2 linked regions of the Cricetulus griseus genome follow. The protein of the gene in region 1 purifies or fractionates together with the protein of each later gene. This does not show direct contact. Links are inferred from orthologs where the notes say so. Each region holds a gene or a part of one and is shown on either strand. Other genes may lie near its edges.

Region 1 (6,321 bases):
TTTCTGAAAACCCTTTAACCATTTCCCTTGCCTCAGGGGTAAGGATGACAGTCCGATTTCATTCTCAGTACCAAATCTAATTGACTGGTCTGGGATGCCTGTGGCCCTAGATTGCCAAGGAATCCAAGATAGGACTGATCCTGGCTCAGCAGGAGAGGTTAAAGATGATTAACGATGGACTCCAAATGGAGATATAGACATGCAGAAGGCAACCCAGGGTGTGTGAGCTGCTAAGCCCAGCCACAGGAAACTGCCATGTGCCCTGTGTCATCCTCTACACTGTTCCTTCATTTCGCTTGGAGACTTACAACCCTGGGATGCCCCACACTTTCTTGGATTTTATGCTCAACCCTAGAGATCCCCCTCTTCACCTAGCTTTGCCTAGAACTGTGTCACCTCCAGAAGAAGCCATGGTTGACACACACATCCCAGGCAAGGTCTTCCAGTCCCTGGGCATCCCAGAATCTCACACTTGGCATTCTGTGTGAGATGATCAACTTTCACACTGGGAGCACCATGCCTCTCTTATCTTGGTACCCTCCCAACCCCCAGCAGTCCCAGCCCCGACCTAGCATAGATGTCAGTACTACCTGTTTGCTGAACAGAGTAAAATGGGATACAGCCTACAGCCTGTGCAAGCAAACAAGAAGCCCAGGCCCTGGGAGTCCCAGAAGAAAGATGGATGGATGAGGTGACACCATGACCTCTCACACCAGGGGACTTGATGGTGTCACAGTGGCCAGCTTGCCTCAGTTTCTCACACTCACACTGATGTCTCTTTGGGAGAAGCCAGTCCATCTCTCCCCCAACTGGGGCTCCCTGAAGCCCACACAGAAAGTTTCCAGGGAGCTCTCCCCCCCACATCCCACACATCCCATTGGGCTCCTATGGCCCTCAGGACAGAGCTGTGTCAGCCCTAGACAGCTAACAGTGCCTGTCTCTCCCAGGAGATGCTGCTTCCTTTCCTAATCCACAGAGGCACCCAGAGTGTGGGAACAGTGAGGAGTCAGCACACACTACAGACTCACCTTTCCATTGGGGCTTGCCTTCTTGAACACTCTGTGAAAAGAAAGAGAGGCCAAGCCAGGGTTAATGGATTCTGCCCAGCCAATCTCTTGCAGGCGACCCTAGACAGGGCCATAGATAAAGGCCTTGAGTGTCCTACAGGGACCAGCAAAGCCTCAGAGCAGGACAGCTTCCTTCCTTCCACCTCTCCTCCTAGGATGAATGTTAGCTGCCTGCAGCCCTCCTTCAATCCTTCAGAGTGGGCTGAGGGAGACTCACAAGCCCACCCAGCTCGAGTAAAGGAAAATCCTTCAGTGCCTGCTAAGTCCCAGTGATCTGACCTGGCCTCTTTCCCTCCCTATGTCACCTCCTGCCACCCTCCCTTAGTCTCCAGCCTCACTGCTCTCCAGCCCCTCTGTTCCTCGTTCCTTATCCACCAGGTGATTGCTGCACAAGGCCTTTGCTCCCAGTTTCCCCTACCCTACTCTCTTACCCTGGACACTCTTCCCAAATGCCCACTTTCCCAATCCCACTACCCCTGTCAGCCAGTCCTTCTCTTGATTCACTCTTCCTTTCTTCCCAGCAACCCCCTGACCATATACTTTACTTCTTGCCCCACCTGTCTGCTCTGCTGGCATGCCCGCTCCAAATATGCCCACTGTCTCTCCTGTCCACGGGTACATCCCAAACACACACAAAGGCACACGTCACTATTGTTCAAGAAATACTTGTTAAATGATTGAGGGTGGCAAGAGTACAATATAAACTAGTTGAACAGATAAATGAATGAATTTCATTGCTTCACTGAGGGACAGAGGCACAGGAATGTGGGGGCAGATGCCTATGCTCGAATAGCAGAGCACTGGGCCTGAGATTAGATGGTAATGTAGTCCCTAAATCCTGAAGAGTGCCACTTGCCTTTCATGGCAACCTTTCCCCTTCTAGAGCTGTGTCTGGGAACCCGAGTCTCCCTCGCCTAAGTACCTTTATCCAGCCCACAATTTCTCAGCCATTACTGGGGAGAGGCAGAAGAAAAGTGAAAGCTAGAGAGATGGGGATGAGGAAAGGTATTGAAAGGAGGGGAGGTGTGAAGAGAGAAGAGAGAGACAGAGGTAGAGGTATGAAAATAAAAGATGAACAAGAGACAGGAGGAGAAGAAAACCAGGGAAAGAATCAGAAAGCCTGAAGCAGGGAGAGATGGGACAGACCCAGAAAGGTGAAACCCCTAGGCAGCCTCAGCAGGGTGTGCCCCAATCCTTCCCAGAAGCTGATCTGCAGGCATCCAGGCCTGTGACTGTGTGGGGTCTCCACAGCCATGGCCCTGCCTCACCCTCCCTTCTGGGACCTAGGGAATATTGACAGGTCTGAGTATTGCTTGCAAAGGAGAGCGTGGCCCAGCCTCTCCCCAAACATTCCCCTAGGGGCCCTGGGAGCCTTGTCTTCTCATTAATATTTATCAGTGTTGGGAGTGTGAAGAAGCCACAACTGGCCAGGGTGTGATAATTGTTAAAGTAAGGGGAAAAAAATGCAGACCACTCCATCTGAACCAGCAACTCCAAGCTAGAAGCTAGGAGCTCCATGTTTCTCCAGGAAACCAGAGAAGTGAAAACCCTGTGGCTTCCAAGTCACAATTACCTCCAGCCCTTGGTAGCCTGTGCTCTAAGGAAAAGGAAAGATCTCACACCCAGGCAGGATAAACAACTGAGAGAGAAAGCCACTCTAGTGGCTGCCGGGAAGGACGAGGCACACGTGGGGCCAGGAGGAGCAATATTCACCAAGCAGCGGAGAGAGGCAAAGGGGAGGGGAATTAAAGCTCTGCCGAGCAGCTCATTATTTCTCATAGTAGAAAGGATAGTCTAACTCCCACTCCACAGATAATTAACTGGAGGCTCCAAGCGATGCATTAACTTGCCCAGGAGCACAGCAAGCAAGGGGCTAGGTCGGGACCCAGACTCACTTCTGACTGGGCCTCCAGAGATTGGTGCCTTAATCCAACCCACTGTTTCCTAAATCCATGTTTCAAAACGGCAGGAAGAACAGACAAGAGGGGAGGGAGAGAGGGATAAATGAAAGGTGACTGGGGTGAGGGGCAGAGTGGGGCTGAAGAGGGGCAGGAAGCACAGCCATCAGTGGGGAATGTCCTGCCACTACCTTAGTCAGCACCCGAGGCCACCTCCTTCAGGAAGCCAGGACTCTTGTGGCTTCCTCAAACAACAAGAGCAGCTGCCTCATTCTCTGTCTGTTTATTATTCCCCACTCATGCCTTTAAGTACTTTTCCCAGGACAAGGCTCTTCCTGGACAATCCCATTTCAAAGATGGAGACATTGAGGCTCGAAGAGGCACCCACGAGACTCAACCACTCCATCACATAGCCAAGCACCACCACTCAAAACTCCACTCACTTCTTGCCCCAACACTGTCAGAAAAGAGGCTCTATGGGGTATTTTCCGTTTCCACAACCCCACGTGTGCAACACCGCATAGACCTCTCTGCCCGTGGCCTAACCTAAGCCCACAATCCCAGCCAGCCTTGCTGAGCAGCTGCGTCTGTTCACCCCCAGCCTTGCCTGTGCCCCACAACCTGAGCCTTAGTCACAGCTGGGTTCCCCAAAGAGAAAGACCAGCAGTGTCCTTCCTGGTTAAGGTTCAGGATAGCTCGAGAAAGAAGAGGAGGTCCTAATAAGGAGGCCAAAATCTCACGGGAAGGATGAGCAGGCAGGATGCGCTGGGGCCGGAGCTGAGAATGGGGACGCCATCGGAGCCTCAAGCCGTAGCTCCCTGTCTCCACCGCTCCTTCTGGGGCTGCTGCAGGGCCTCCTGGCTGCGAGGCTGTCTGTGCGGCTGCTCCATTGTCTCTGTGGACCAGCGCGCCCCGCTTACTCAGGGATTTTTCTGCTCCTCCATCCTTTGGGCTCGCATGTGACTCACACTCCAACCCTGTTTCTACCCTGCCTCTCACTCAGCTTCCCGCTGCTAACTGACTGAATGGCCCAATTCCAAATTCCCAGGAGAGGAATCTGATTGGTCAGCTTTGATTAGGTACCCCACCCCCTGGCCCAATCACCTGTGTCCAGGACATAGCCTGTGGTCCATGAAGCATGAGCAGAAGAGGCTCTGGAGATTAGTATTGTCCAAACCAGAGGTTGCAAGTCACTGGTTGATTAGGAAACCTACTTAAAACATTACAGGTCGGAGAGCTGGCTCAGTGGATAAATCGCCTGCTTCACAAGCATGAGGACTTGAGTTCAGATGCCCAGTACCCATGTAAAAGCTATATGTGGCAGGCTGCACCTGTAACCTCAGCACTGGGAAGGCAAAGATAGGCAGATCCCGGGGGCTTCTGTGGCCACACAGTCTGGCCTACATAAAGAGCTCTGGGTTCACAGAAAGCTCCATGTTTAGTGATGGGCCCTGTTTCAAAAAATTAGGTGAAGAATGATAGTGGAAGACATCCATAGTTGACCTCTAGCCTCTACGCACACATACACATACAGTACGTACATACACAGAGATCCTTTTTTTTGAGGCAGGGTCCTGGAACTCAAATACAAACAAGCTGGCTTCAGACTCACAGTGATTCTCCTGCCTCTGCCTCTCAGGTGCTGGGATTAAAGACATGCGCTCCTATGCCTGATTATATTTTGAGGTTGGTTGTTTGTTTTCAAGACAGGGTCTCACAAATGTAGCTCTAGCTATCCTGAAACACACTATGTAGACCAAGCTAGCCTCAAACTCAGAGATCCTCCTGCCTCAGCCTCATAAGTGCCACTACACCTGGCTTTATTTTTTGATTTTTAATGAAATGGGATGGACTAGACTATAGAAACAAGTGCTACAGGCAACAAAGATGTACTAGATACTCCCTACAGGCACCAGGATTCCCTGAGGCTGGATGTATGGGATGCCAGGCATCTTCCTTCCTGTGGAGTTGGACGCCCCCCTGTGGCTTATTCTGACCAATGAAATGCGGGTGCAAATGTCACATGCCACTTTCAGCCAGAGGCACAGAAGGAACCATCCATGGGTCCCCAAACCCTTCAAGCTCATTTTCTGTGGCTGCTATTTACAAAGTCCCACGAATTCAGTGGCTTCAAACAACACAAACTTAACTAGAGTTCTGTGCTTCAGAAATTCAAGTGGGCTTCCTTGAGCTAAAATCAAGGTGTCAGCAGCCCTTGATTACTTCTGGGGGGTTCTAGGGCAAATCTGCTTCCTACTCTCTCTGGCTTCTGGAAGCCTCCTCCTTCCTCCATCTTCAAAGTCAATGAGAGAAGGTGGCCTTCTCATTATATACGGCATCACTCAGATCTGCCCTCCCTTTCCTTTTGAAAACCATTGAGATGACACAGGGACCATCTGGGTAATCCAGAATGATCTCTCTGTTTTAAGGTCATCGGATTAGCAGCCTGAAGCCCATCTGCAACCATCATTACCCATTGCCACATAGCACAACATTCAGAGGCCCCAAGGAGTAGGACCCCGACATCTTGGGACAAAGCATTGCTTTGCCTACCACACTGTCTTTCTGTGGCTGCTAAATTCAGCAATGTTCTGGATATTCTGCTACATGGTAGTACAAACAGAGAGGCTTGAGTCCTGTCAGATACATGATTGTAAAATTTGAAATCCTGAGCTGGGTGATGATGGCTCATACCTTTAATCCCAGCACTCGGAGGCAGAGGCAGGTGGATCTCTGAGTTGGAGGCCAGCCTGGTCTACAGAGAGAGTTCCAGGACAGGCTCCAAAGCTATCCTGAGAAATCCTGTCTCGAAAAAACAAACAAAAAATTTGGAATCCTGAGGCATGTGTTACAGCAGCAGACCAGCTGGAACCCAACAAGGAGAATGCCTATGATAAACCGATCCTGAAATTCACAGGGGAATGCAAGGGAGAAGAACTGCCAAAACAATCCTGAAAAGAATAGGACAAATTTGGAAGGCTTGGACTTCTCAACTTCAAAACTTACTACAAAGATACAGTGATTAAGGGGGCTGGAGAGATGGCTCAGTGTTTAAGAGCACACACAGCTCTTCTAGAAGACCTGAGTTTAATGCCAGTATCCACACCGTGCAGCTTACAGCCACCTGTAACTCCAGCTCCAGGGGTATGACTCCTCTGGCCTCTTCAAGCATCTGCACACATGTACACAGACAAACACATTAATAAAAACAATAAATTATTTTAATGATAGAGTAATCAAGGCTGTGTGGTACTGACAACATAGAGATCAATAAAAGATAATTAATAGTATAGAAATAAACCTACATATTTGTGGCAATCTGTATTTATCTATATTCAAATTGTGGCATTTTTATG
Region 2 (6,129 bases), on another chromosome or scaffold:
ACTGACTTATTGTGAAATTGACTTTGGCAGAATCATTCAGTAGAATCAGTACACTGCCCTGATGAAAAGATTTCTCTGAGCTTACTAGCCCTGAGACTACAGTTAGGCAAAACAGATGCATGGCCTTATGGTTAACAGCCTAAAGACAAGGACTTAGGTAAGTGAGCCAGCTTCCTCTCCTCAGGGTGTCCTTGCACAAGCTGTTCTCTGGCTCTCTTGCTTCCCCCGTGAAACACAGGATGTTGTACAATAGCTGTGTACTTTTTTTTCCCTAAGCACTAGATGCCTGATACTGTCTGTATTTTAGTCTTGTGCAATGTCTACAACAGCCCAGTCAATAAATAAGAAGTCTCAGAGGTTGACTGTCTGCTAGATGGCAGGAGTACTTTCCTGAGCCCATGTCCACTCTTGAGAATTTTCCCAGCTATATCAAATGAATTCAGCAGATTCCCTCTTGTCCAAACTCAGTTCAGTGACAAGTAGGGTTCTGGAACTGCTTAAATCAAGGCGAAAATGACAATAGAGCCTTCAGTGACAGGCCAGGTGGTTTGTTGGTACCCCAGCCCAAGGCTGGCATTTCCTGTCACCCTAGCAGCCTCCCACCCACACAGGGGTTGGAGGGCGGCAAAGCTTTGCTGGGGAAAGGCTGGGCTTACGTGAGGAGCTGCTCTGGGCTTCCTTAGCTGACTGGGCATCACCCCCTCAGCTCTCAACCTCCAGGAACAAGCTACTCTCAAAATAGAAAATGAGCAGGACAATGCTGTCTGTAAAAATCTGTTTAATAAATATACATCTTAGAAGTACCAAAATAATTACCAACAAAATACACCATATACAACATTTACAAGAGGGTAACAAAAACCTCAGTCGGGAGTGACTAGCACATACCACTCAACACCTGGTTCTACATGTGAGGACATACCAGGCTCAGCTACCAGATCTACCGTTCAGTCAAAAGCACAATAAATAGAATGTGGTCCCTTTCATCAGTCTGGAAAACCACCTCCCAAAACCTCACGAATGTGAGCTTTAAAAGACATTTTCTTTGAATTCCAATGATCTGTTTCCCCATTTCACAAAAATAACAATCTGCCATCACCAGAGTAAGATGCTTGGGGGCAGGCTGTGTGCAGTGTGGTGGTAAGTATATCCCTTTCTTTCTTTTTTTTCTTCTTTTCTTTCTTTTTAGAAAAATAAAACTCTTGTTTTATACAAATATACAAGTCCATGTTCTTTTTGACACTTTCCACTCATAATGTCAGACGTTGGCCTCCAAATACACAGTCATCATAGGGCAGCTAAAACAAGAGGGGAAAAAAAAAAGGCATATTAAATTCCTAGAACTTTGCCAAGACATTGGGATGAGGGGAGGGGACTGCTTCTGCAAATAACTCACAATCTTGGACTCTTTCCTCCTTAACCCAAATAGAATGAATCCCCCATGCTGTCGGAGTTTTCCTTCATTGATTCTCTCCCTTAAAAACAATCTAAGCTACGGCAGGAGGTGTAGTTCAATGGCAGAACACATGCCTGTTACCACGTGTTAAGGCCTGGGTTCAAACTCCAGAACCTCCCTTCACCTCCAAGGGTTAAAACAAATCAGAGAGACAAGTTCTTGGGATACTGGTTTTGCAAGCTGCGTTTCGTTAAATAATTATGTTGAGATCCCTATAATAAAGACTAGTTCTGCTCTAGGGACGGGAGAGGGGTGAGGGAGAATGGACCATTCTGGTAGTGACGAACACTCACCTCATCCTCCGTGAATTCTGACTCTGTGTCGTAGCTCTCCTCATCCTCACTCTCGGGCAGCATCTGAAGATTTTCCCGGGTCAGCTGGCCCAGCTGCTGCTGTATCCGGGTACTTGGTCGGCCCCAGGTGAGCTGATAGGGGGAGTAGCCTTGGTAGGTCACTCTATTGACGTCAGCACCACACTTCAACAGGAGCGACACCAGTTCAGGGTTCTGCAGGTCCACTGCCAGGTGGAGGGCTGTCCGGCCATTGCAGGGCTCCTGAAACCAAAGCAATCAGACATGTTTAAGGCCACATCTGGAAATCCACTTGCAGTAAGAACAAGTCTGGAAGAGTTCAGGAGGAACCTGACTGGCTCCAACTAGAAGGGAACTGCACTCACCTGGGCATTGACATCGGCACCCAAAGACACCAAATGCTCCACGATGCCCAGGTAGCCATGGATGGAGGCGAGGTGCAGACACGTGTGGCCTAGAGGAATAAGAGACAAAAAATATAACTACTTGTTTCAATTGTCACACAACTCGTGCCCTATTTTCTTATGGGACAACCACAAATATCCTCAATTCTTAAGAACTCAGAATTTGAGTTTTGACTGAACATTATTATAAGGACATCAAGAAGGGATTTTTTTTAAAGTCCATATTGTCTGAACGTTTTATGTTGAGAGTTTAGGCTCTAGCCTAGACTCAAGTGGGCCCACCTCTCCCTTCTCTGTGTCCTGGGATGGACTGATAGACCTACCATTGTAGTTGGTGGCCTGCAGGATGGAGTGGAGATGCTGAGGTGTGCACGTCTGTGTCAGGACTCCTACACTGGCCAGGCAGCCCTGCTCACAGGCAAGATGTAGAGGGGTATTTCCTCGAAAGTCTCGGAGCTCAGGATCACAGCCAGCTTCCAAAAGTGCCTCAGCAATTCCTGGCTGGTTGGTGATCACAGCCAAGTGAAGTGGAGTCTACAAACGGAAGAGGAAACAGAACGGGGATAAGTCATGGAGCAAATCCATAGTCTTGAGTTTCCTGAACCCCAGACAACTCCTTGTGAATTCTGCTCCTCCCTGATGGCTACAGGGGACCAGGCAAACATGAAGCCCCAGTTGGGTCGTAAAGACCTCACCAAACCCCTGGGATTTTCTTCAAGCTCTAAGATGTTGGCTAATTTGAATGTAAAAGGCCAGGGCAGATAAGGGCTCAGTGACTATTAATTTAGAAACACTTTGGGGGCGACTGAGCTAACATCCAACTCCACCACCAGGTCAAAGAGGGCACGGCTGGGGCAGCGCGCACCTGCTGCAGGTTGTTCTGGAAGTTGAGGAAGGCCAGGTCTCCCTTCACCTGCCGAATCACTTCCATGGTCAGAGTCTTCTCTTCATGGATGATTGCCAAGTGCAGGAACCTGAGGGATGACAGGGAAAGCCCCCGAGGGGCGGTGAGCGCACTGCGTGGGGGCCCCCAAGAGGCGCGGGCTGCGGGGGATTGCGCAAGGCCGGGGTTTCTGGAGGCCGCGGCCGCGGTGTTTTCCGCGAGGTTATTATGAGCTGAGTGTTCCTGGCAGGGGCCCAGGGACTTTCCGTGCCCCACCCCCTCCGGGCGGGCGCCGGCCAGACCGGCCCGCCCTCCGCCGCCCGGAACGCCCTGTACTTCCCCTCGCGGCCGCGCGGCGCCCGGCGGCTGCGCGCACAACTGCCAGGCCGGGACTTGGCGTCCCCGCGGCCGCCCCGCCCCGCCCCCGGCCTGCGCTCGGCTACGCCGGGTCCCTGGCAGGGGAGGAGAAGGGGGATGGGATGGGGAGGCAGGCGACCTGGGCGCTCGCCATCCCCGGGAGCCCCGTCGTGCTCCCTCCGTGCAGAGCCCCGAGCGCGCTGCAGGTCCCCACCGCACCCCACCCCAGGCCTCCCGCGCGCGACCCCGCCGCCCGTGCCCGCCGCCACTTACGAGTCTCCGTCCTCCGTGAGCTGCTGCTTCCAGGGCTCGGCGGCCAGCGGCGCCTCCTGCGGCTGCAGGCGGATCTCCTGCAGCTCCTTCACCATCTGCTCGTACTCCTCGTCCTTCATGGAGTCCAGGCCGCTGTCGTGGCGATCGTCCACCAGCCGCTCCTTCTTGAGAGCGTCCCGCGGGCCCTCCATGGCCCAGTCCTGGCCGTGGCCGGCTGGCTGAAACATGGCTGCGCGGGGCTGCGTGCGGGGCTGCGAGCTGCAAGCTGCTGGCGGCTGGGCGGCGAGTTGCGACTGTTGTGGGCTCGCCAGCGCCGCCGCGCCGCCCTATAAACGCTGGCAGGGGATTTCTCAGGGGCGGGGTCAGGCTCGGGGAATTTCCAAGCCAGTCAGACTAGAAAAAGAACTGGCTCGTCCTCGACTGAGAAGCCTAAACCCAGGGCCGGGGTTCATTGGAGAAACTCCCTGCGATGAGCCACTGGGGTCATGCACAGGGAACTTTTTGATGAGCCCTGAGTGGCTGGAAAGTCCTCCGGACCAGGCCCCCTCCCTCTAGGTACTTCCCTGCAGCCTGCACTCAGTAACCCCAGGCCTCTGCAAGAACCCTGCTTTCCCTGGGGTTTCCCACCGTTGTCGATTGGATGTGGGGTCCTCAGCTGTTGAGATCCCAAGGACGCAGACCCGCTGGGCGGTTCCTCTTAGCGATTTGCCAATTTGCAGGTCCTTTCCGGTTTTTGATCTTTTGAAAACCCACGAGTGGAAATGCTGGCTGACTGCAGGGATTCGCTTCTCATAAATTTCTTCGAGGAAGGAGACATGAGTGTCACTAGGCCGTCTGTGTTTTGCCCATTCCAGGCTCTAGGCACTGCAGGGACATTTGGCCGTCCCTCACCCCCACCCCATGAAGCTGGGAAGCTTTGACATTAAAAACACCCAAGCGCTTGGAGAACCCCTAGAATATTAAATAGGGTTCGATAATCTTGTCTCCTGGGGGAGGGCGAACTCTAGCTATGTATGGAAAAAGTGTTAAATAGAAACCACATTTTTTTTTTTAAAAAAAGTAGAGCAAGGTGTAGTAGTGTTTGCAGTAGAAGTTGTAGCTTCCTAGCAACAGTAACTGTTGAGTTCTTGTGTCAGATTTACCACTTGCTGCAGAGAATGGAGTCTGAGTTTATGGTGAGTGCCTAGCGGAGCAACTGGCTTAGTACTTTAGCCAAGGCTGGCCCTTAATTATAGCTAAGAAAGTAGCTGCAAGGCATCCTGTAGGATGCTCAAGGCAGTCCTCACATTGACCACATCTGAACCCTGCTGGCTCTTCCAGGGTCCTTGCTCCCCAGGGAAGGCAGCATTGTGGGTAGCTACTCCCCAGAGAAAGGGATTTGGTCCTGTGATGCACTAGTTTTACCTGCAGAAATAGAATATCTGCTTTCACCCCTTCTCCACTTAGGAGCCTGCAATCTGTCAACTCCCTCTAGAATTAGCTCAGGAGAAGTAAGGCACCTTGGGTCAGACTTTGTCAGAAACAGACCCAAGAGGCCTCTGTAGTTCCTCAGATTTCTGGTGAGACTTGATCTTTTTCTTGATGAGCCATATACCAACTCTCCTTTCTCTTCATAATTCCATCCCCTTCCCCAGTATATGGATGTGAGGACACTGGGGGAAAGATGTAAAATCCATGAAAAAACAAAACAAAACCTCCAGATAGTAAGGATCCCATGTTAAAATGAAACTTTCCCAGTGAGTTCTGTTCATCAACCCTGCAGGCTTGCTCTGCACATATACAATTATTGAGGCCAAGTGAGACTGATTGTAAGTAGGAGATCTCAATTCCAGGCTCTGTCTTTCATTAAATACATTAGTGGGAGAAGCCATTTGCCTTTTTGTGTGTATGTGGTATGCTTGCTTTTATAGTAGTGGGGTTGGATTTGTGCCCATGAGATAATTAGAGCCAGGGTTCACATTGTAGCCCCAGGTTGGTCTGAAACCTGGTTGTCCAGGTTAATCTGTTGGTAAGACTTCTGCCTCAGCACCCCCCAGTGCTGGGATTGCAGCTGTAGACTGTCAGTCCTGACATATTTGAGATACTCTGTGGCTTCAAAATTGTATCATTTGTCTACAAATACATGCCCCGCTCTGCTTTGGAAGTATGAGCATGGGCTTTTGGAAAATCACAGTATAAATTTTTGGAGGAATCCCAGCCCTTTATGCATCACACTGTTAGTTCTCAGAATTAATATTGTAAGCTAGGTATTGTTTCCATTTCCCTAAAGAGAAAGACAAAATACCTAGAAATTTACCCAGGCACCCAATGACAGCTTGTCTAATTTCTACCACAATATAGTAATCATTTTGCTAAAGTGGATGTCATGTTAACACTTGGAAACACCTTGTAAAAATGAGACCAAATATAGTATAATTTGGAATATACTCAAAGTATTTAGCTGAG

What was found.
Region 2: the proteins of Arrb1 (region 1) and Nfkbia purify together in Homo sapiens (affinity purification with western blotting; 3 studies listed by BioGRID and IntAct, with this or other methods). This does not show direct contact. The link is inferred for Cricetulus griseus from reciprocal best matches to the Homo sapiens genes ARRB1 and NFKBIA.

The regions. Positions count from the first base shown.
Region 1 is NC_048596.1:99,979,010-99,985,330, forward strand, and holds the start of Arrb1 (beta-arrestin-1), read right to left. Parts: upstream 3,984-6,321; 5' UTR 3,762-3,983; coding exon 3,706-3,761; intron 1,060-3,705; coding exon 1,029-1,059; intron 1-1,028. UniProt on the Homo sapiens protein: Functions in regulating agonist-mediated G-protein coupled receptor (GPCR) signaling by mediating both receptor desensitization and resensitization processes.
Region 2 is NC_048598.1:146,912,821-146,918,949, reverse strand, and holds Nfkbia (NF-kappa-B inhibitor alpha), read right to left. Parts: upstream 3,992-6,129; 5' UTR 3,912-3,991; coding exon 3,685-3,911; intron 3,146-3,684; coding exon 3,037-3,145; intron 2,706-3,036; coding exon 2,495-2,705; intron 2,222-2,494; coding exon 2,133-2,221; intron 2,011-2,132; coding exon 1,750-2,010; intron 1,299-1,749; coding exon 1,251-1,298; 3' UTR 762-1,250; downstream 1-761. UniProt on the Homo sapiens protein: Inhibits the activity of dimeric NF-kappa-B/REL complexes by trapping REL (RELA/p65 and NFKB1/p50) dimers in the cytoplasm by masking their nuclear localization signals.